Tamandua tetradactyla: one gene and its partner. The protein of the gene in region 1 interacts with the protein of each later gene in a pairwise test. Links are inferred from orthologs where the notes say so. Each region holds a gene or a part of one and is shown on either strand. Other genes may lie near its edges.

The links.
Region 2: the proteins of GCC1 (region 1) and CEP57 interact in binary tests that used the Homo sapiens proteins (3 or more experiments, as listed by UniProt). The two-hybrid records come from large-scale screens. The link is inferred for Tamandua tetradactyla from reciprocal best matches to the Homo sapiens genes GCC1 and CEP57.

Annotation. Positions count from the first base shown.
Region 1 is NC_135327.1:168,990,607-169,000,571, reverse strand, and holds the start of GCC1 (GRIP and coiled-coil domain-containing protein 1), read left to right. Parts: upstream 1-5,896; 5' UTR 5,897-5,986; coding exon 5,987-7,018; intron 7,019-7,860; coding exon 7,861-9,156; 3' UTR 9,157-9,965. Other genes in the region: ARF5 (ADP-ribosylation factor 5), read right to left, coding at 101-226, 700-771, 1,237-1,346, 1,711-1,791, 2,329-2,395. UniProt on the Homo sapiens protein: Probably involved in maintaining Golgi structure.
Region 2 is NC_135334.1:47,134,582-47,144,633, reverse strand, and holds the start of CEP57 (centrosomal protein of 57 kDa), read left to right. Parts: upstream 1-5,808; 5' UTR 5,809-6,570; coding exon 6,571-6,615; exon of another isoform or gene 6,616-7,016; intron 7,017-10,052. Other genes in the region: protein FAM76B, read right to left, coding at 923-1,116, 2,260-2,415, 3,456-3,510, 4,397-4,461, 5,290-5,376. UniProt on the Homo sapiens protein: Centrosomal protein which may be required for microtubule attachment to centrosomes. May act by forming ring-like structures around microtubules. Mediates nuclear translocation and mitogenic activity of the internalized growth factor FGF2, but that of FGF1.

The DNA.
Region 1 (9,965 bases):
TCAACAGCAGGGAAGGAAAGTGGATGCCTTTACATCTTTGCCCCAGCCTGTGTGGCTCCCCTGGGGAGGCAGGATCCAGTGGGTGGGGTGGGACCCTCACTGTGCGGCTGCGTAAGTGCTGTAGTCCCAGCTTGTCGGTCAGCTCGCTCACAGGCATGGCGTTGGGCATGTCTTGCTTGTTGGCAAATACCAGCAGCACCGCATCCCGCAGCTCATCCTCCTGCAGCTAAGAGGGTAGAAGAGGTGGCAGGATCTGAGGTTCCATCAGTGTCTCCAGAGTCCCTTCTCCCTGCTATGCTGGGAGTCCCCCATTCTACCTTCTAGGATTATAATTGAGCTTGAGACTCCCTAGGTCTTAAGACTAGGAATAGCATTTTTCTAATTTGAGTACATGCCCTAGTCAAAATGACCACATTTCCAAATGGGAAAACCAAAACGTCAGATGATGTTTCTCTCCACCATGTAAACCCCCTCTCCCACCCAACTTCCCACAGTCGGACATGAAGGTAAGAATTCAAGGAAAAAAATCAGTCCTGTGCTTTTTTACCAAAACTGAAAACAGGGTGAGATACATAATGTGTCCACAAAGAAACACGTACATTCTTAGCTCTCGAGGTCTGTGAGAAACATCTACGCTAGCCCCAAGATCTCTTTGTCCCCTACGTGGAGGGCTCAGTTTCCAGGGCTCCAGGTGCTCACCATCTTCTGGAGTTCATCGGCAGATTCTTGGACCCGCTCCCGGTCATTACTGTCCACCACGAAGATGAGGCCCTGGATGGGAAGCAAGAAAGGAAAAAGGAACGAACGATCATCCCCAACTGGAACATGCTCTAGTCTGCTCCTCTCTCTCATCTTCCCTTCTTTAATTGGGCCTAAATCCCTCTTGTCTAGCAAGCTTTCACCAAGGCCCTGCAGAAATCCTAGCACAAGCTGGAGACACCACAGCAAAGGATGCAGCCTCTGTTCTCAAGGAGTGAGTGGTCTAGCTAAAAGGTGTTCAAGGGAACAGACAATAAAGCTATGGTGATGCGAGCTCAGTCAGGCAGCGTGGACCCAGGGCTCTGTTTCTCAGAAGCCTAAGAGGATGAAGTCTCAGAAGGATGAGTAGAGGCCAGCCAAGAAAAGGGGGAAGAGGAAGAAAGGTTTTTTTCTTTTTAACCTGGCCTGGGGACCCAGCTAGGCTACCTTCTCAGTCCTAGCCCTACTTTCTCTTCCCTGGGGTTCCCAAGCTCCTACCTGAGTGTTCTGGAAATAGTGCCGCCACAGAGGTCGAATCTTGTCCTGGCCTCCCACGTCCCAGACCGTGAAACAAATGTTCTTATATTCCACTGTTTCCACATTGAAGCCTACAGATAATTGGAAAAATATGGAAAAAAGTCTTGTAAAGAAGGACTCACTAAAACTACTTGGATCTCAGCAGGGACACAAAACCAGAGGGCAGTGATCAAGAACAGGGGAAAAGAACCCCAGAGAACCGGCAGTCAACAGCTGGGGCGGGGCTAGTTCACATTCACCCCGCCTCCCGCAGTATTCCCGCCCCCCCCACCCCCCCACCCCCCCACCCCGCAAGTAGAGAGACATCCAGACCCACTTCTCAAGTAGCCGTATCTGGTGTCAGGGTCAGCTCCGGGGAGAGAGATAAGGGCCTCAGGCAGAACAGGGAGCAGACCCCGAGAAGGATCGCGGTGGTGCTCCCGCTCCCCGGCTCACCTATGGTGGGGATGGTGGTGACAATCTCCCCCAATTTCAGTTTGTACAGGATTGTGGTCTTGCCAGCTGCATCCAAGCCAACTACAACGGAGAGGGGCAGAGAGATGGAAACGGGAATGAGGGAGCCCCCTAGAGACCAGGGAAGGGGAGAGGTCAGGACTGCGGGTGGTGACGGGGGCGGAGAGCCGGAGCGCGTCCAGGTGCGCGCTGTTATCTACCCCAGGGGCCTGAGGGCAGTCAGGATGATGTGCGCCAACTCCTGCCCCCAAACTGGGCAAGAAGGGAGAAAACTGGGGTTGGGGTTTGCGGGAGTAAGGGACACCGGAGGAGGGCCGCGCTCCTCTAAAAGGCGTCCCCAAGGGCGGAATCTTCCCTTCTTACCAGCCGGGCCGGGGCGGAGGGCGCTTCACCCCACCCAGGCCCGCCGCTCCCGGTCTCAGGCCTCAGGGGCGGCGCTGCAGACCGGACCCACCCGAGAGCAGCGCCGGTCCTGGGGGCTTAGGAGGTGGGTGCAGCGGGGCCAGAGATCCGGGTGAGCCCGGCTGGAGGGGCGCGGGGGCGGGAGGGCTGCGCGGGGGCCGGCGCCCGGGTCCGGGCCGCGCGCTTGGTCTGCCTCACCCATGAGGATCCGCATCTGCTTCTTCCCGAAGATCCGCGAAAAGAGCGCGGACACTGTGAGGCCCATGGCGGGGCCCGGGGGAGGGGTGCGGGCACGGACGCCGGGTGCGGGCTGGAGGCCGCCGGCCGCGGGGGAACCCGGCGCAGCAGCACTAGCAGCAGCACCAGCACCAGCAGCAGGAGGCTCCGCCGCCGCCGCCTCCTCCGCGCGTCCTGGCCCGCCCTACGTCACCGCGGGCCCCCAGCTCCGCCCCCAGCTCCGCCCCCCAGCCCTCTCCTGGAGAAGTTGAAGCTGAGTCTCCGCACCTTCGCTGAATCCTCCACGGGCTTTGAAGAAGGAAAGGGTCTAGGCCTCTGCAGTTTCTAGCTCGCCTTTCAGGTTTGTGGCTGCTCATATAGCAGCCCGATCGGGGCTGAGGAAAGCCTTCAACTTTCCAAGCAGCCCCCTGTCCCCGTCTTCAGTGGCCCGCCGCTGGGACTTTGGTTCTATTGCGTCCAGCCCACTCTGGGCTCTGCTACAGCCCTTGGAAGGTAGCTGCACCTACTGCGTGCACCACCCACCTTAGGAGAGCGGAAACTCCGTTCTTACTCCTCCCTTTTGCCTCCTCAGCTCCTAATGAGGCGCTTTATGCGTAGGTGATAAAGGGACTGCAGAATCAGGTGAGGAGTGAGCCAGAGATGAGGGAAGATGCCCTGGTGATAGCTTTCATGGTTCTTTAAAACGCCTGGTTTATAGCTCTTCAAGCAGTAGCTCTCGGCTGCATGGTCGCAGACCCACCCCTAGAGTGCTGGAGAACTCTGCCTTCGCCATAATGCCCTGGGAACACTGCCTTTCAATCTGGGGCCACGCAGCTTTTCTGAAGTTCCTTTCTCCATTTTGCCACGAACATGGGAACCTGGATTAATGCACACCTGTCCAGGATTTATGGGCTTCTTGCCTCCCTAGACCCAAAGAACTTCACAAACAATCTTCCCCTCTTAGCATCTGAGAGGAAAAGCAAGATAGGAAAGAACCTAAATTTCTAGAGACTGGGATCAGTACCCAGGCACCTAAATTATGCTTAGCAAATACTTGTTGGGTTAAACTGGACTGATAGGGAGCTCAGTGGAGCAAGTACAGACATTATATTTATTCTGGAGTCCCAGTGGGCTTCTAGGATCAACTGCTTATGGACTAGGTTGGGAATCAGAAAATCTTCATTCATTCATTTACTCAACAAATATTTATTGAGTATTCCCATGTGCCAGCACCATTCCAAGTCTTAGTTTAAATCTGTTCTGCCATTTTTTTGAGAGTTTGGCTTAAACAACCCTCACAATTCTGTGGTTTTCTCATCTATAAAAGGACAATGTCTGCCATATTTATCTCAGGAGATTATGGTAAATGGGATAATTGTATCTGAATGTTTTGTGTTAGGCAGCTAGATTTTACTGGGCCACAAAGAAACTGGAATGAAGCACACTTCTAGGGCCTGCCCCATCATGGTCTGCAAAGTGGAATGAGAACAGACTTTGGGAACAAGGTGTGCACAAGTGCATGGTTTTCCTTTGCTCTTCAGTCATATATTCCATTCTTAGGAAGGCTCATACCAGGTAAAAAAAAAAAAAGTACATTTAAAAAGTACCAATATAAGAGGCAGGCTCGCTCAGTCACTTGCCTCCAATGTCTGTGCTGTGCTGCTTGTTTGCGGCTGTCCTCACCTCCTTCTCGGCTTTGGACCTCTACTGATACTGTGTCAGACAGGCTCCTGAGGCCTCTCCTTAAAGCTATTTGCCTTCCTTGTATTGGCTCTTGGGCTGCTGGACTTTAGAGACTCAGGAATCCTCCATCTTTAAATGTGTTGTATGCCCCTGACCCAGTTATTGGGTACTACCTGCGTTGGCAGCTTGCAGTTAAGCAAGCAAATAAATTGCATTAGCATCCAAAAAATAATAATAAATTGCATTAGCATAAAAAAAAGTACCCATATAATAACACAGCTAGTGGCCACCAAGTTAGGTCAGTTCTACATCTTTGGCTCTTTAATCATCCCCTTTCTTTCCATCCCAGTTGTCACTGTCCTATTTTACTAAAACTCTTCCCTATAATTGAGCCTTCTCACCTGACTCCTGCTCCTGATATCTTACCCTGCTATAGTAGTCCTGATGGTACTACCCTTGAGATGAAAATCTTTGGTATCTTCCTATCACCCAAGATAAAATCGAAGTGCCTTAATTGGGTTCCCACCTGTTGTGCCTTCCCATCTGTTGTCACCTACTTCACATACCCAAAGCTACTGTCTTGATGTGATTCTTAATGCTTTCTGGATGAGCCAGGCTTTCAGATGCCTCTTGTGATCTTTTCATTCTGCCGGGAATGCTGGTTTCCTTCATTTCTAGTTAGATGGGCAGCTGTTTCTCATCTTCCAAAACCAATGTATTTTCCCCAAGAGTCTTCTCTGCCTATTCCTGTCTTAAGTTCCGTACCACTTTGAAAATATCCATCAATACTGGTATGATAGCAGGATTTGTGTTTGCATATCAGTTCCTCACTAGATTGTGAGCTCCTTGAGGACAGGGCCATGTCCCTTCACAGTATTATCATCTGGCACATCATCTAATATGCAGTGTCAGGCTGATCTGGTTAGGATTCCTAAACTTACTAGCTTGGCCATGTTACTTACCCTGTCTGTGCCTCATGTTTTCATATCTGTAAAACTGTATTAATGTTACTGAGTAGAATTATTGCAAAGACTCGGTAGCAAACTCTTGTGAAGTTACTGGCATACATTTGGTCGATACGAAGTGCTCTCTATAAATATTTATTGAATCGACTCACGAAGAGTGCTAACAATTATTATATTATATGCCTATTAGGTGCCAAGCAAGCACTGAGCCAGAAACAGCTGCAGTTTCCATGGTAAAAAAGGGACTCTATGGCACTTTAGGGGCATACTTACTGGGCCCCAAATAGTAGGGACGCTTCGCCCACCTGGAGTGTTCGGCAGGAATGCAGGGCGACATCGCCCCCTGAAGCTCTCTGATCGAGCCCGAAGGGCAACTTCAGGCGCCCTGACGTCACCAGATTAAACCACCCAGTGTCCTCGACTTTGCTTACTCCGTTCTTCCCAAGACGGTTCCTCTACCGGTAAACCCACCGAGCTCTCAGCCGGCAACTGCCTCAGCCACAGTTTGAAGTAGCCACGCCTACCTCGCGCCCACTCTGGGCGGAGCCCGGACGGCGTCCTGTCGTCACTTCCAGCGGACCCGAAAGCGCCATTGTCGCGGGCCTCCGTAATAGTAAGCGGTGATGCGACAGCCCTCGGTATAAGCCCTTGGCCGAGCCTGGGCCAAGGGTAGTGGGGGCGGCCCGAGCTGCTGTGGGCTGTGTGAGAAGGGAGCGCGAAGTGGTCAGTGCGGAAAGTGCTGGGGTTGCGGTTCTCTCGTGCGCGCGTCGAGGCTAGGACCCGCTCCCATCCGCCGGGCCTGGCACACCGCGGGCGCCCCTGCCAACTTGCTCCGCCGCCGCATCCGGTACCCGACAGCTGGAAGAAGCAGGTGTGCGCCCCGCAATCGGACAACTCTCTCCCTGTGCCTTATAGTAAGTCCCCGCCCGTGTCTCCGCGGGTCTCTCCCGAGCTGCCTAACGCTGACGTGGAGCAGCCCGCCCAGCACGCTCATGGAGAAGTTTGGGATGAGTTTTGGAGGCGGTCCGAGCAAGAAAGACCTGTTGGATACCATAGAGTCGCAGAAAAAGCAGCTTCTCCAGTACCAGGCACGGCTCAAGGATGTTGTCCGCGCTTATAAAAGCCTCCTGAAGGAGAAGGAGGCTCTAGAGGCCAGCATTAAAGTGCTGTCGGTGTCCCACGAGGCGGATTTGGGTCTCACCGGTGTCCAACCTCCAGGCCTCACCTTTCCTGACTCTGTTGATGACCGGTGCTCCACTCATAGTGGTGATAGCACTGGGACTGCCGCCAGCTTGGATACTGCGGCCAGTCTCACCAGTACCAAGGGTGAGCTTGGGGTAGAAGATGACAAACCGGCCCGTGGACTGCCACCTGCAAAGTCCGAAGAGGCCAGTGGGTCGGAGAGTGGCGTTAGCAGTAGCAGTGGAGATGGACCTTCTGCGGGTGGGGAAGTGGACAAACGACTGCACCAGCTCAAGACTCAGTTGGCTACTTTGACCAGCTCTTTGGCTACAGTCACCCAGGAGAAGTCTCGCATGGAGGCTTCTTACCTGGCCGACAAGAAGAAGATGAAACAGGACTTAGAGGATGCCAATAAAAAGGCAGAGGAGGAGAGGGGCCTTCTGGAGGGGGAATTGAAGGGGCTGCAGGAGCAGATAGCAGAAACCAAAGCCCGACTTATCTCGCAGCAGCATGATAGGGCCCAAGAGCAGAGTGACCATGCCTTGATGCTGCGTGAGCTCCAGAAACTGCTGCAGGAAGAAAGGACCCAGCGCCAGGATTTGGAGCTCCGGTTGGAAGAGACCCGAGAAGCCCTGGTGGGGCGAGCATATGCAGCTGATCAGATAGAAGGATTTGAACTGCAGACCAAGCAGCTGAGCCGTGAAGTGGAGATGCTGAAGGGTGAACTGCAGGCTCTTCGGGATGAGAAGAATCGACCTGACTCTCGGGTGCAGGAGCTTCAGGAAGAGGCTGCTTGCTTAAAGAATCATTTCCAAGCTCAGTTGCAGCAGGAAATGAGGAAGGTAATTATCCCTTCATACATTTGTCATTAATCTGAAGTGGAAAATATTAGGGTTTTTCCTCCATTAGTAATTTGTAATTTTAGATCCAAGTGGCTCCACTGGCATTTTTGATACTATCTGTAAAGTTTGACTAGGTAATTCTGGGAAATCCTGTTCTGTATGATGTTGACAGTATCCACTGTTAGTGTCCAGCTTCCAATAGAACATGACATTTCTAAGTGTAGGCCGTATGGGAGCCAGGCAGCTTTGAGCTTCTGGCTATTGGCATCTTGTCAGCTGTGCTCCGGGAAGCAGTATAGTGGCAACTGTTCAGTGAAATATAGTGTATGGAGGACTCATGGGGGAATAAATAAGTTTTCTCAGAAGAAACAATCTTTTGTAATTGCTTTCAGTCTAGGATTGTCTGTTCTGGAAAGTTGTGCTATTTCACAGTGCATCTTTACAGTATGGAAAGATCCAACTCAGTTTTAAATTTCTAGGAATACTGGAAGAGGGAAAAACATGATTTCTTAATAGGATTTGGGAGTGTACATAATAAGCATCAGGAATGCACTTTATATGTGAGCTAAGTGTATGATGGGAGGAAAATGGGAGCATTAAAGCAGAACAGCACCAAATATACAAAGGTGCTTAATATTGTTTGGTATGATATGTATCTGGGAACAGAACAAGTAAGCCATAGGAACTTTTGTTAGCACTCTAATCTGCAGAAAAATCCTTTGTTCTCATTCTTGCCAGGCCACCCCATCCTGTGACCCATTTTGCTCTCTCTCTTGCTTTCTCAAAATTTGCCACAGGTCTTTGTGGCTTTTCTCAATACAACATGTCCCCTTGTTTTGCAGACAGCCCTTGTAGAGGATCAACTCCGCCAGCAATCTCAGATGGAAGAGCAGAGGGTGGCGGCCCTGGAGAACCAAATATCTGAGGTGTCTGAACTGCTTGGTACCTATGAGAAAGCCAAACAGAAGGACCAGCTGGCCATCCAGAAGTTGAAGGAGCGCATGCTGCAGCTGGACATGGAGAACAGGACTCTGGCTCTAGCTGCCTCCAGCAGATCCCCTCTAGACAGCCATGGAGAGGAGTCCAGTTTGGATGTCAATGTCCTGAAGGATAAGATGGAGAAGCTAAAGAGGCTACTGCAGGTCGCAGCCAGGAAAAGCCAGATGACCCTGGATGTGGAGAAGCTCTGCGACCTAGAGATAATGCCTAGCTCGGAGGCGGCTGATGGGGAGAAGGCTACTGCGCTCTACTATCAGCAGGAGCTGAAACAGCTGAAGGAAGAGTTTGAGAGGTACAAGATGAGGGCCCAGGTCGTCCTCAAGAACAAGAGCACCAAAGATGGTAACGTGGCAAAGGAGCTGGAGGAAGCCCAGGAACAGCTTGCAGAGCTAAAGGAGAAGTATATCTCCCTGCGGCTATCCTGTGAGGAACTCGAGCGGCAGCACCAACAGGAGGCTGAGGCTCAGAAGCAGGAGCTGTCCCGGCTGCAGCAGCTCCACCGGCAGGAGCTGGAGCGGAGCCAGCTGGACTTCAGGGACCGCACACTGAAGCTGGAGGAGGAGCTGCACAAGCAGCGGGACCGTGCCCTGACTGTCCTGGCGGAGAAGGATTTGGAGCTGGAGCAACTGCGCTCTGTGGCTTTTTCCTCTGGGCTGCCGGGACGCAGAAGCCCTGTGGGTAGTGGGGGTCTTGGAGACCCAGCTGACACATCTGCCTCGGATAGCCTGACCCAAGCACTGCAACTTGCTGCGGCCAACGAGCCCACGTTCTTCCTGTATGCTGAGCAGTTGGCCCGCAAAGAGGTGGAGATCACATCACTCAGGAAACAGAAGCACAGGCTGGAGGTAGAGGTGCATCAGCTGCAGGATCGGCTGCTGGAGGAGGGGGAGCGGCATCGTGAGGAGGTTGGAGCCCTGCAGAGCCACATTGAAAAGAACATCAGGGACCAGAGTAGGGAGGGAGCCAACCTGGAGTACCTCAAAAACATCATCTACCGTTTTCTGACCTTGCCTGACATGCTGGGCCGCCAGCAGACGCTCACAGCCATTCTGACTATCTTGCACTTCAGTCCAGAGGAGAAACAAGTGATAATGCGGCTCCCAGCCAGTGGTAGCTGGTGGCCTTCTGGCAAGAGATGATGCCATTTTCACTGACTTCTGAGACTTCTGTGCCTCTTCGTGTGGGAAGGGGCAGACTATGGTTTCTACTGCCTCTGCCTCTTCTGTTTTTGTTTATTTCTTCACTGTGTTGAACTGGGAGGAATCTTCACTGTGGGATGGGATTTTCTGCCACATGCCATCAATGCATCTGGGCCCTAAGGATACTGAAAGTGTTGGGATAACATCTTCTGGTGGCATGTACGTGTGTGTCTTGGATTGTGAGGGGGAAGAGGTTAAAACTGAGGTGCAGAAGTTGAGGAAGTGGTGAGAATCTCTTAAAATAAGATTTTTTTGTTGTTTTAATATTATGCTTCTTGCTTAGAGCTAGGAGTAAATGTGTCTCCGAAGGGAGTTCAGTTAACTAATTTTTCAACATGCCCTGAGATGTACAATGACCATTTACTCCATCACAGTCTGAGTCTGGTCCAATGCTGCTCCTATTTTCTGGGGACATAAATCCAGGCTGGAAAGGGCTAGGAAGCTTGAAATAGTGACAGATTGTCCACTTGTCCAAAGGGTCAAGGAATAGTGAGTTCTTGGAACCAGGAAGTTTGTTTTAGTTAGGGCCAGGGTGTGACCCAAAAGATCTAGACAAAACATGCCATTTATAACCATCCTAGAGAGGGCCCTGAGTACCATTTTGACTTTAAGAAAGTTTCTGAGTGACTTGCTTGGGCCTAGCTAAGGTTAAAATAGGCTTCATACTTGTTCCTTCCTTAATTTGTCTGCCTAAGGTTGACTTTGCTGTCTTTTCTCGGTGTTGAACTTTTCATTAAGAAACAAAATCT
Region 2 (10,052 bases), on another chromosome or scaffold:
ACCCCTTACCCCTCCCTTTCATTGATCACTAACATTTCAAACTAAAGTTATTTGGAACTACATTTTAAATAACTATCCAGAACTTTAAAGATAGAGAAATTTAGGAAAAAAGAGTGAATTATTCTGAAAATGGGTATATTTAATGTTCCTTTTTCCCCAATTAAATCTGCGTGTTTTGTTCTTGATTTTTCCATGAAGTCTAAAATGTTTTTGAAAAACCCTTTTATACTATAAACATAAAAAGTTAAGAACCATTATTATATACCTTTTTTTTCCCTCAAAGTACGTTAAGAACAAAAAAGTTGTCTATATTTGAATAGGGTTCTTACCTATGTGTTTTAGAAAGTACCACTAATTAAAAATATTATTTCTCATACTCTGGGGACTTTCAAGATTTAGAATGGCTCAACGATGGTCACAAAAGATAGTGTTGTAATCTGTTATTCAAAGAGACAATGTATATTTCTTTGTCTCTGGTTTTCATATATATGTATTTCTCTATATATTTGTTTTTAATAAAACAAATTAATGATAACCAAGATAAATACAATTTTTACAAGTAAAATCCTAACTTGTAAAATTCTTTGAACAAAGAATATTGAGGCTTCTGATGATGCAAATTAATGAAGTGTTATTAATGGATATATCTGTCTTTTAATTTCAAAATATGATCATAATCTTAATTAGTAATATCCTCAATGTCCTATCTTTTGTTATGATGGTAAATTGCCAAACTCACTCCATGTATGTAATTTTATACACTGAATAAAATGGTAAAACAATCTTATACACTCAAGAAGCTTTTCATGCATAATGGAAACTGGATTAGCAACACAGCCAGTATGTATAAGAAGTTAAACATGGACATATGGCATTAAAACGCCAGGGAAGATTTTAGAAAATATGATTTCAAAGTACTTACTTGTGATGGCTACTGCTGTGACGATGGTGATGGTGATGGTGATGATGTTTTGAATGATGCTGGTCTTTTTCAGTAAGAGATGAAGAAGATGAATTTGAATGTGATGATCCCAGGCTCTTCCTTTGTTCCTTTGTCTTTTGTAAAACTCTTTTGTATGATAAAGTACACAGCCAGCATAATAACTTTCCATCAACCTTTTAAGAAAATGTTTCGATTAGATTAAAAGTACCATAAGCTGATTCTAAATAAAATTAGGTAAGATAAACTGCTCAACAGCTCTATTTCACTCAAACACACACAGACTTTGCAAAATAGAAGTAAAATTAAACTTTTTTGAAACTTGGGAAAATGCTTGTTTGCAGAGTCATAAAATTGATGAGGATGGTATTTGGACTTTCCATTAGTTTTATGTATTATTAATTTGAAGAGAGAAACATATTACCTTTTCTACTACAGGAAAATAAGCACAAATTGATAATATCCCTCAAAAGAATCTTACCTAAGCACAAACCTAATTTAACCAGAATTCCTAAATTACTGTATAATTACTAAAACAATAACATATTTCACTCTACTGAAAAACTGTGAATTATTAGAAAAAAAGGAGAGCCTCAATGATTTACATGTATGCCAGGGGGAAGGGAGACTTCTTTCTAAAATTATTAAGACTAAACCTATACAAATAAAATTAGGTATTTGTTTTCTGTCTGTTAACACAAGGAATGCTGGAGGAACATGTTGTACAACTTGGGTACAATGTCTACATTGCTTTGGGGAGACCGGGGAAGCCCATCAACAAGACAGCCTCCATATTAACTGAAACTGAGAAACAACAGGAGGCTTGTGTGGCTGCTGATCAGCAAGGCATGCCACGTGCATAACGTGTACACACATGCTTATTAAGTCACTGTAGGCAAAGAAAAATGAACAATGGTTTCAAATATGAGGCCTGAATCAAAAGGCACAGGAATAAATTTGAATTACATGTGCTAATGTGCCATCAAGTAGTTTTTCACAGCAGCAACATCAAGCAAACAGCAAAAGGCTGAGTAGCTCAAAGAGTTGATTTAATAGCAGTTAGCAATTCTCTCAAACCCAATGGGGAATAAAACACCAGTACAGAATAATTTTTGATGTACAGTAATTTCAATTGACCAACATGAATCAACTTATTATACAAACAAGGAGAAAACTCACTCCTCCCGCACTTTCATCTACCACATGCTTTCAGGGACCTAAAGGACAGATATGTCTCAGTAATATATTAATTATAACTTCCAACCTGTTTGGTATTTTATTTAATTTCTAGAAGATGTCTTACCATAAATAAAACATACCTTTCTTCTTCCTTCCTCCTTCCGATCAAAAGCACACTGCTGTTTGCACTGTTCACAGGTCTGAGGTGGTCCATATTTTTTTTCTGAATTTGTACAACGTTGACACTTGGTGCCAATAAATGCTGCAATTATGTTACAGTACTGACAAGGTTTGGGCTGAAAAAGAGATATGCACTGCTTTAATTGATACACTTAAAAAAAACTGTAAATTTCTACATAAAACAAACATAACGTTATAGATGTATTTCTAGGATTAAGAAAACTAATAGGAAAAAATCTGTTTTCTGTCAAGTATGCTGCCCTGTCATATTCAATGACATTTTTCATGTTTCTATCCATTCAACTAATATTTATTTTGAGGGACATGAAACTCACTGCTACTCTTGGGATATTTAAATAAGATGAGAAATGTATTAATGATTTGTATGTCTCTTATACAAAAACTATACATGAAAAAAGGTCTCAAAATATGAAAGGTTTTGGGGGAATGAACTGCTTCTAATTTAATATCTTGGTTAGCTTAATTATCATATCACTTATTTAAAAATGTATTAGCTTTTCACCAGATGCAATACACATGTTGTAAGTGAATTTTCAATTCACACAAAGATGATGCAGAGCACATTTGATAAATTTGAAGCACAATCCATAGCAAATATACCTTGATATTCTTTGATATTCAAAAGATAATTGAGGATTTTAGAGTCTTAAGCCCAACATTTTCTTTGATAGTCAAAAGATAATTCAGGATTTTAGAGTCTTAAGCCCAACATTTAACCAGTGATCATTGTAATGTACATGCAGACCTAGGATAGGATTTATACTAGGGCAGTGTGACTATTGTGATATCTGAATTGCATAAAAATAGTTTAAGGTTATGAAGAGGTGGAAAAATCTTTTATGCAAGCTTTATGGATAATTAGATTCTCCATAACCATGAATTTGCTATATTTGAATCTTTAAAGGAAAAATACCTTCAGAAATTTCATACTGAAATTTTACATAAGCCATGTAATAATTTCATTATTTTAAAGTTTTTATCTCATCAGGCTACCTACAGAAAATCTTTCATGAAATATTTTGATATGCCAAAATGTTTAAGAAAATAACGATACCCATTTTTTTTAAAGGCAGATCAATGTGAAAAACATTGACCAGTAATAATAGCATGGAATAAACACATAAGACATACTTACTGTTCCAAATTGTTTCACATTTTGAGCACACTTCTTACAAATTGTGTTAGTTTTGCTGAAAAGGAAATTACATATAAACGATCAAAGGTATGCAGCTTTCTGAGGTGATTAGCAAAATGTTCAACTAAAGCAAGTGGAAGAGTAAAAGATCTGTAGCAACAGAAATGAATTACTTTAATGTAGCTAAGTAGTTTTCCTTTTAATACAAATATAAGGATCTTTTTAGGACAGTAATAACCCAAGTTACTTCTCTCCAAACTACTGAAGATGTATTTAGACTTTTTTAATTATGTATTTTTTGTAAAAGAAATGAAACAAAAATCCTAACACCTCCTATCTAGTTCCAAAATCTTCACTTCTGCCATCACTACAGAGTATTACTGCACAGCATTACATATCAGTGCCTTCCTAGCTTTCCACTGGGCCATTCTCCACTATTATGATATCCACACCTTATGGAGAAATTATTTATTCTTCTTTTCAGCTATTTTCTTCTGTGTGTTCTCAAAGTGGAATTGCCCTCTTAAAAAGCATTTGCTGTCCTTCTACTGGTAATAAGTAACTAGATTCCACTCTTGGAAGGAAGGTACTGGTTAACGCTACAGATCTTTCTTCAGATCCATGTCAGAACTAATGTTTAACCATTTTCTTAATAGCTTATAAAAACTGTTTAAATTTGCATCTTCATAGCAAAGCTGTATATTTTTCAATGCAATAATTTATTCCTTATTTGCTTTTGTGTAAACTGAAGTCTAATTGTAAAATAACCACTGTTTTAGCCAACATTCTCTCTCCCACCATGTATAAAAGGTTTACAACATAAAATTTAAGAAGCTATACCCCTTAAAAATATTTATTACATGCAAAATTACCATATCCCAAGTATTCCTCAGAGAGAATGCTTTGTCTTTAACAATCAAAAACTGTACAAATATACAAACCTCTCTTGTTGAAATTCTGATCTGCAGTAAGTACATTTTACAATTGGATGTGCAATTCGACATTCCTGTAATAAAACAACACGTTAGTCAACATCTATCTCAACGTCCCAAATCTCACTTTTGTGGTAGAAAACTATTACCCGGCCTAGTCAAATGTCTCAATCATCAATAAAACCTATCTACTAATGTAACCAATTGGGGGATTAATCATATAAATGGCAAATTACAATATAATTCCTTAGGGAAGGCATAGGCGTCTTTGTCTGTATTAGATGTGGGAGTATGTTACAGATAAATTAAGAAAGCTGTCAGGGCCTGTTTCAAGAACTGATCAAATGTGAAACTACTTATTTTGCACCGTTGCTCACAGACAGCATCCTGGCTTTAATGGGATGGAAGGAGCTCCAAATCATAGAGCATTCTGTTCCCAAGCCAGTCGCTTCGCTTTCCTGGACAGGGAAGAAGGATGCCATCAGCTTTGCGGCTTCGGATTCCTAGCAAGAAAGTGCAAAAACTGTCCCCTGCCTCCTGGTGGAAGGAGAAGACAGACCAGGCAGAACATTGAGATGAAAACATCTCCATCCCAGGGTCTCTGCGGCATAGACAGGTGGCTGCCTTACTCAGCCCCACCCCTAAGACCCCCAAACGCTGCTGGGGCTCGGCCCCTCTTGGGCCTCCTGGACGAAGGTAGAATTCTGTCGCTCTTTCTCAGGGGTCCTTCTCGACTGATGTACAGGCCCTCGGATAAAGGGATCCCGGGTGGGAGGCGAAGGCTCCAGACCCCTAAATCCCAAAAGCGCCGAAGAGCGCGGGGCTGCAGTGCACCAGTCACCCAGCTCCCCTGGATTGCGGTCGAGGGAACCCCGCCCGCCCGCTGCCCGGCGCCCACAGACCTTGCAAAGCTGCTGCCCCTGGGAAAGCTCCTCGAAGGGATAGCGCTGGGTACACTTGGTGCAGGCGTACAGGGCCGACGCCGCCATCCTGCTCCTCAGTCTCCTCCTCCACCGCCGCCCGCTGCGAGGCGGAGCCCTACGGCGGACTCTGGTACCGCCGCCGCCCGGGCCACGGGCTCCTCCTCCTCCCCCCTCCCCCTGCCTCGCGCCCACCAGGGCCTCTTCCGGAGAGTCCCCCGGCCCCTGTGGCAACGCTGCCGTCTCCCTCCGCCTCCACTTCCGCTCCAGCCCACCAAGCAAGACTGTCCCAGCCTCTCCCGCTTACGCCCCGGTAGCGGCGGAGGGAGACGAAGCGGTAGTTCGATAAGATTTAGCTGCGCGACGCGATCCGCTTCCTTCTCGGCCTCCGTTCCGCGTCCCCGATTGGTCACGGAGCCTACGCGTCACTCGGTCGCTCCTCCCAACCCCTCACCCAGGTTACGCAAGGAGCGCCCACAAAGGGAGGAAGCTGCTAGCCAATGACAGCCCGACGTTCTCGGCGCGCGAAATCTGCTTTAAATCAGTCCCGCCCTATGCCTGGGTCGCAGCTATTTCTAGTAGCCGGTTCGAGGTTTGGGTGAGAGCTCCCCAACCTAATTGGGCAAATGTTCTTGACAGGCTTGGTCTCTGCCTCCTCTCTCTTTCATTTGACTTCTATTGGACCGAACCATTAAGCCCCTCCTAGTCCGGTTTGTTATTGGCCAAAAGGAGTTCACCCCAAATCAAGCTCTCTTCGGCTTCTAACCCAAGAGAAGGGATGGCGTGTTTGAACTTCGCATTCATTTTTACTCTATTTCAATCATTCGACTCAGTTGCCACCGGAGACAACAACACAAATCCTGGCCCACGTTTCCTCCTTGAGAAGTCTCCTTCCTTTGCAAAGTCGCCTCCCAAGCCGTCTAGCAGCTCCCAGTGTTATCGGCTCCTGGCAGTCTCAGTTACGCGCTACCTTGTGACGTCAGCGAGGGAAGAGGCGGATTCTCTACAGGAAGGCGTCCGCTTTTTTGATTGGCTATCCAAGCCGTCCATCAGGACGTGTTGCCCTGTCGGCGTGTGCTCTGAGTTTGGGCGTCCCGGTGGGGGTGTGTGGCAGGGGGTTCTAAACCTGGTACCAGCACCCTCGCCCCTTCCATCAGGGGCCGGGCTTGCGGTCGCCCCTGGTGGGCGGCTCACATATCTTGAAGAAGAGCACGGGAACCCAGATCGTTCCGGAGCTGCGGAGGCCTGCTGGGCAGGAGAAAAATGGCGGCGGCGTCGGTTTCTGCGACTTCTGGTTCTCATTTCTCGGTAAGAAGCTATTGATGTTCGGATAGGCTCCAGATCGGTTCTTCTTAGTGCCTCTTCCCTTTTCCTCATGTTTTAGAGCTCTCTCGGCTCTCCCTCTCATCACATCTTGAGGAACAGCGGGCACGGGGGAGGAGCACCTAGATCGCCCAATGCTAGCCCTGCTTCCACTGCTTCTCTGTTGAAGCTGCACCCTCTGGCTTCCAGTGAAACAGGACTGGTCCGCCACTCCCTCCGTCCCGCCCCACTTCACCCCCATCCCCCGTGTGGGTCTAGCAGTCCAGGTTGCCGAATGTTGCCTAGACTCGGCTGGGAAAACTGTACCGGCTCCCTGGCCTGAGAAAGCGTAACTGCTTTGGTCACGTGGCGGTAACGGCCCCTTTTTGGAAACTGGCGGAGACCAGGTAGGCGCGCTTGTCGGTTTAATAGACAGCTTTTGAGTAGTCCGTTGTTTATCACGTGCATTCTCGTTTTTGCTTACTCTTTTGCCTGCAGACTCCCTGCCTCCTGTCTTCCCAGTAATGTTGTTCCGTGATCAGACCAGAAGCGCGCGCTTCCCATATCCCACCATATTATTAGGGCTGCAACGTTTAAATGCCTTTTCCACGTACTTTTCTGTGTTGTTTTAAAAACGTACGTTTTTTGAAAATTTCAGATATGGGTTGATGATTCCAAATATTGTTTTCGCCTCCACAAGGGCCACCAATTCAGTCACTTGGTTGAATTAGAGTGTCTAATGCTTAGTGGTTTGGGAACTGTCCCGTTGAGAATAGTTGGGAAGTAAGTGTGACAAGGCTTATTAAGTTAAAGGACTTTTCTATTCATTCAGCCAGTGGTGAGTTACTGGCATATTATTAGGCTGAGATTACACAGATGAAGAATATAGAGCTGCTGCTCTGAAGGAGAAAAACACTGAAGAGAAACAACATATAATTAAATGATTACTACACAGAACAGTTTGAAAAATATTGTCATGCCGGACTAATCTAGGCAAGAGTGGCTAGTATTGTTTGGGTAGACAGATGAGGTTTTCTTGAAGAGAAGATGGAGTTGAATGGGGAAGGAATTTTAAGTGCTTCTTGCAAGAATAGAATAGGAAGAAGAAAAAGGCACCATAGGCATTTTGGGGATAGGAGCCAAAATAATAGGTGCTTTCAGGAAACTTGAAATAACTTGGAATAAGCATAGGTAATATGGAGGTAGTGTTGTGAGATGAATTGGAAAAGTAGGTAAAAGTATGGTTTTGAAGGTCCTTATATAGAATCTGGGAGAGAAAAAGACCAAAAACATCAGGGTCAAGTAATGGCATAGAAGTTAAGGGGGAGAAAGTTTAAAGAATGCTAAGAGCAGATTCACTTTGAGAAGTCATGCCTTTCTTCAGTTTCAGGTTTCTATGGCTGTCTTTAGGATTTGGGATAATGAGGCCAGAAGCAACCTTCAGGGTTTCGGCAGAAAGAGGGTAATCATAAGTCCTCAGAGAGGTTAGCAGAGATTAAAAAACAGTTGGAGTTTATTCAGAAATTAATGTCAGTAAAAGGGAAGATAAAACAACTATGAGACAATTAGAAAGAGGTGTCTCTCTGTAAATGGATGAGATTTTCAGTATGAGATGTGATTAATTAAACTTAATTGGGAGAAGATGTGCTCTTAAAATAGCACTTTGAGGTTGAAAAGACCCTTTAAAATGTGGAATTGAGCTGCACTCCGAAGATGAGTAGTGGCGCTGGGATGTGCTCAACCTGTAGTCCTTACGATAGGCACTCCAGAAATCCAAAAGAGTGTGTAACAGAAGACATATTTTAATGTGCTAAGCTCAGATTTAACTGGGTTCTAAATATTGAGAACAATAAAATATCTAGGACCCTTTACAAATCAAATTATAACCATCTTCTCAACTAACTTGATGTGCTACATCAAAATGTCTAATTTTGAAGCTACATCTCAACACAATTTAACCTATTTCTCCGTGCGTAAGAGATGGCCCTGCTTAGATATTTTTTTTCTCTGTCCGCCTAAAATAAGGCTGCATTTCCAACATGGCCTGCAGTATTAAAAAGAGCACTTTAGCTTAGCAGCTGATTATAATCTAAGACAAGGCATAAAAAAGACCTTATAACGCTACAACGTGAACTCAGATTACTCCTATCAGACTTCAGGGTTGTGAGCAGTAAAAACTCATATGTATTTGGAAGTGATAAAATCAGGATAGAGCTAGCTATAATAAATGGAGATGCTTTTACCAGGCAAGGATTTTTACAGGGTAACTGTATATCTCTTACATTTCAAATATGATCAACATGAAAGTAGGTGATAGGTTTGAATTGGTTTTTCTATGTATTTATTTACTGCAACAGTAGCAATAAGAGTAGCAGAAACAGCATTTATGGAGGGATTACTCTGTATCACTCTCTAGTGGAGAAAGCAGGAAAACAATTATGATTGACATGATGGAATTAATGCTAAATTAGAAGTTCAGGCAGCATAGAGTTGAAACACAAAAGAATGTCTTTCATTTCGGTTCTCTGTTTTCCCAATAACCACAGTCAGTGCCCTCATGTCACTTTGAGCAACATTGAAAATATATATGATTTATTTTAGAGAATAGTAAAGTGATTACCTTCATGCCCCTTTTTGTATCTTCCTTCACACATACACAACCACTACCATAAATTTTGAGATTACAATAATACCTAATACTTATATAGTATTAACTGGCAGACAAAGAGTTAAGCATTTTTCATACATCAGTTAATTTAATCTTCACATAAGGTTGTTACCTTATGAAGCTGGCATTAAACTTACATAACTAGTAAATGGTAGAGCTTGAATTTGAACCCAGGTGTGCTGGTTTGAAAGTATTACGTACCCCAGAAAAGCCACGTTATAATCCTTATGCAATCTTGTTGGAGCAGCTGTTTCTTTTAATCCTGATTCAGTTCTTTAGGGGAATCTTTTGATTAGATTATTTCCAGAGAGATGTGATGCCCCCAATTGTGGGTGTGACCTTTGATTTGATGGATATGTGACTCCACCCATCCCAGATGGGTCTTGACTAGTTTATTGGAATCCTTTAAAAGAGGAGGTATTCTGGAGAATGACAGAAGCCTCATAGCTGACAGAAACTTCACAGCAGAGCTGACAGATATAGACACGTGGAGAACAGAGACACGGATGTTTGGAGATGCTTGGAGCCCAGCAGACATTGCCATGAGATACTAAGCCAGAACCTGGATAGAGCCAAGGGAACCCAAGAGATGAAAGCCAGCCCCAGAGAAGCAAGGTGAGGAACCCCCACAGGAACAGAGGCTGAAGGCAGTGGAGGCCAGAAGCATATGCCAGCTGTGTGCCTACCAAGTTGATAGAGGTGTTCCTGACCCATGGGCCTTTCTTGAGTGAAGGTAACCTTAGGTGTATTAGTTTGGACAATTTTATAGGCTTAG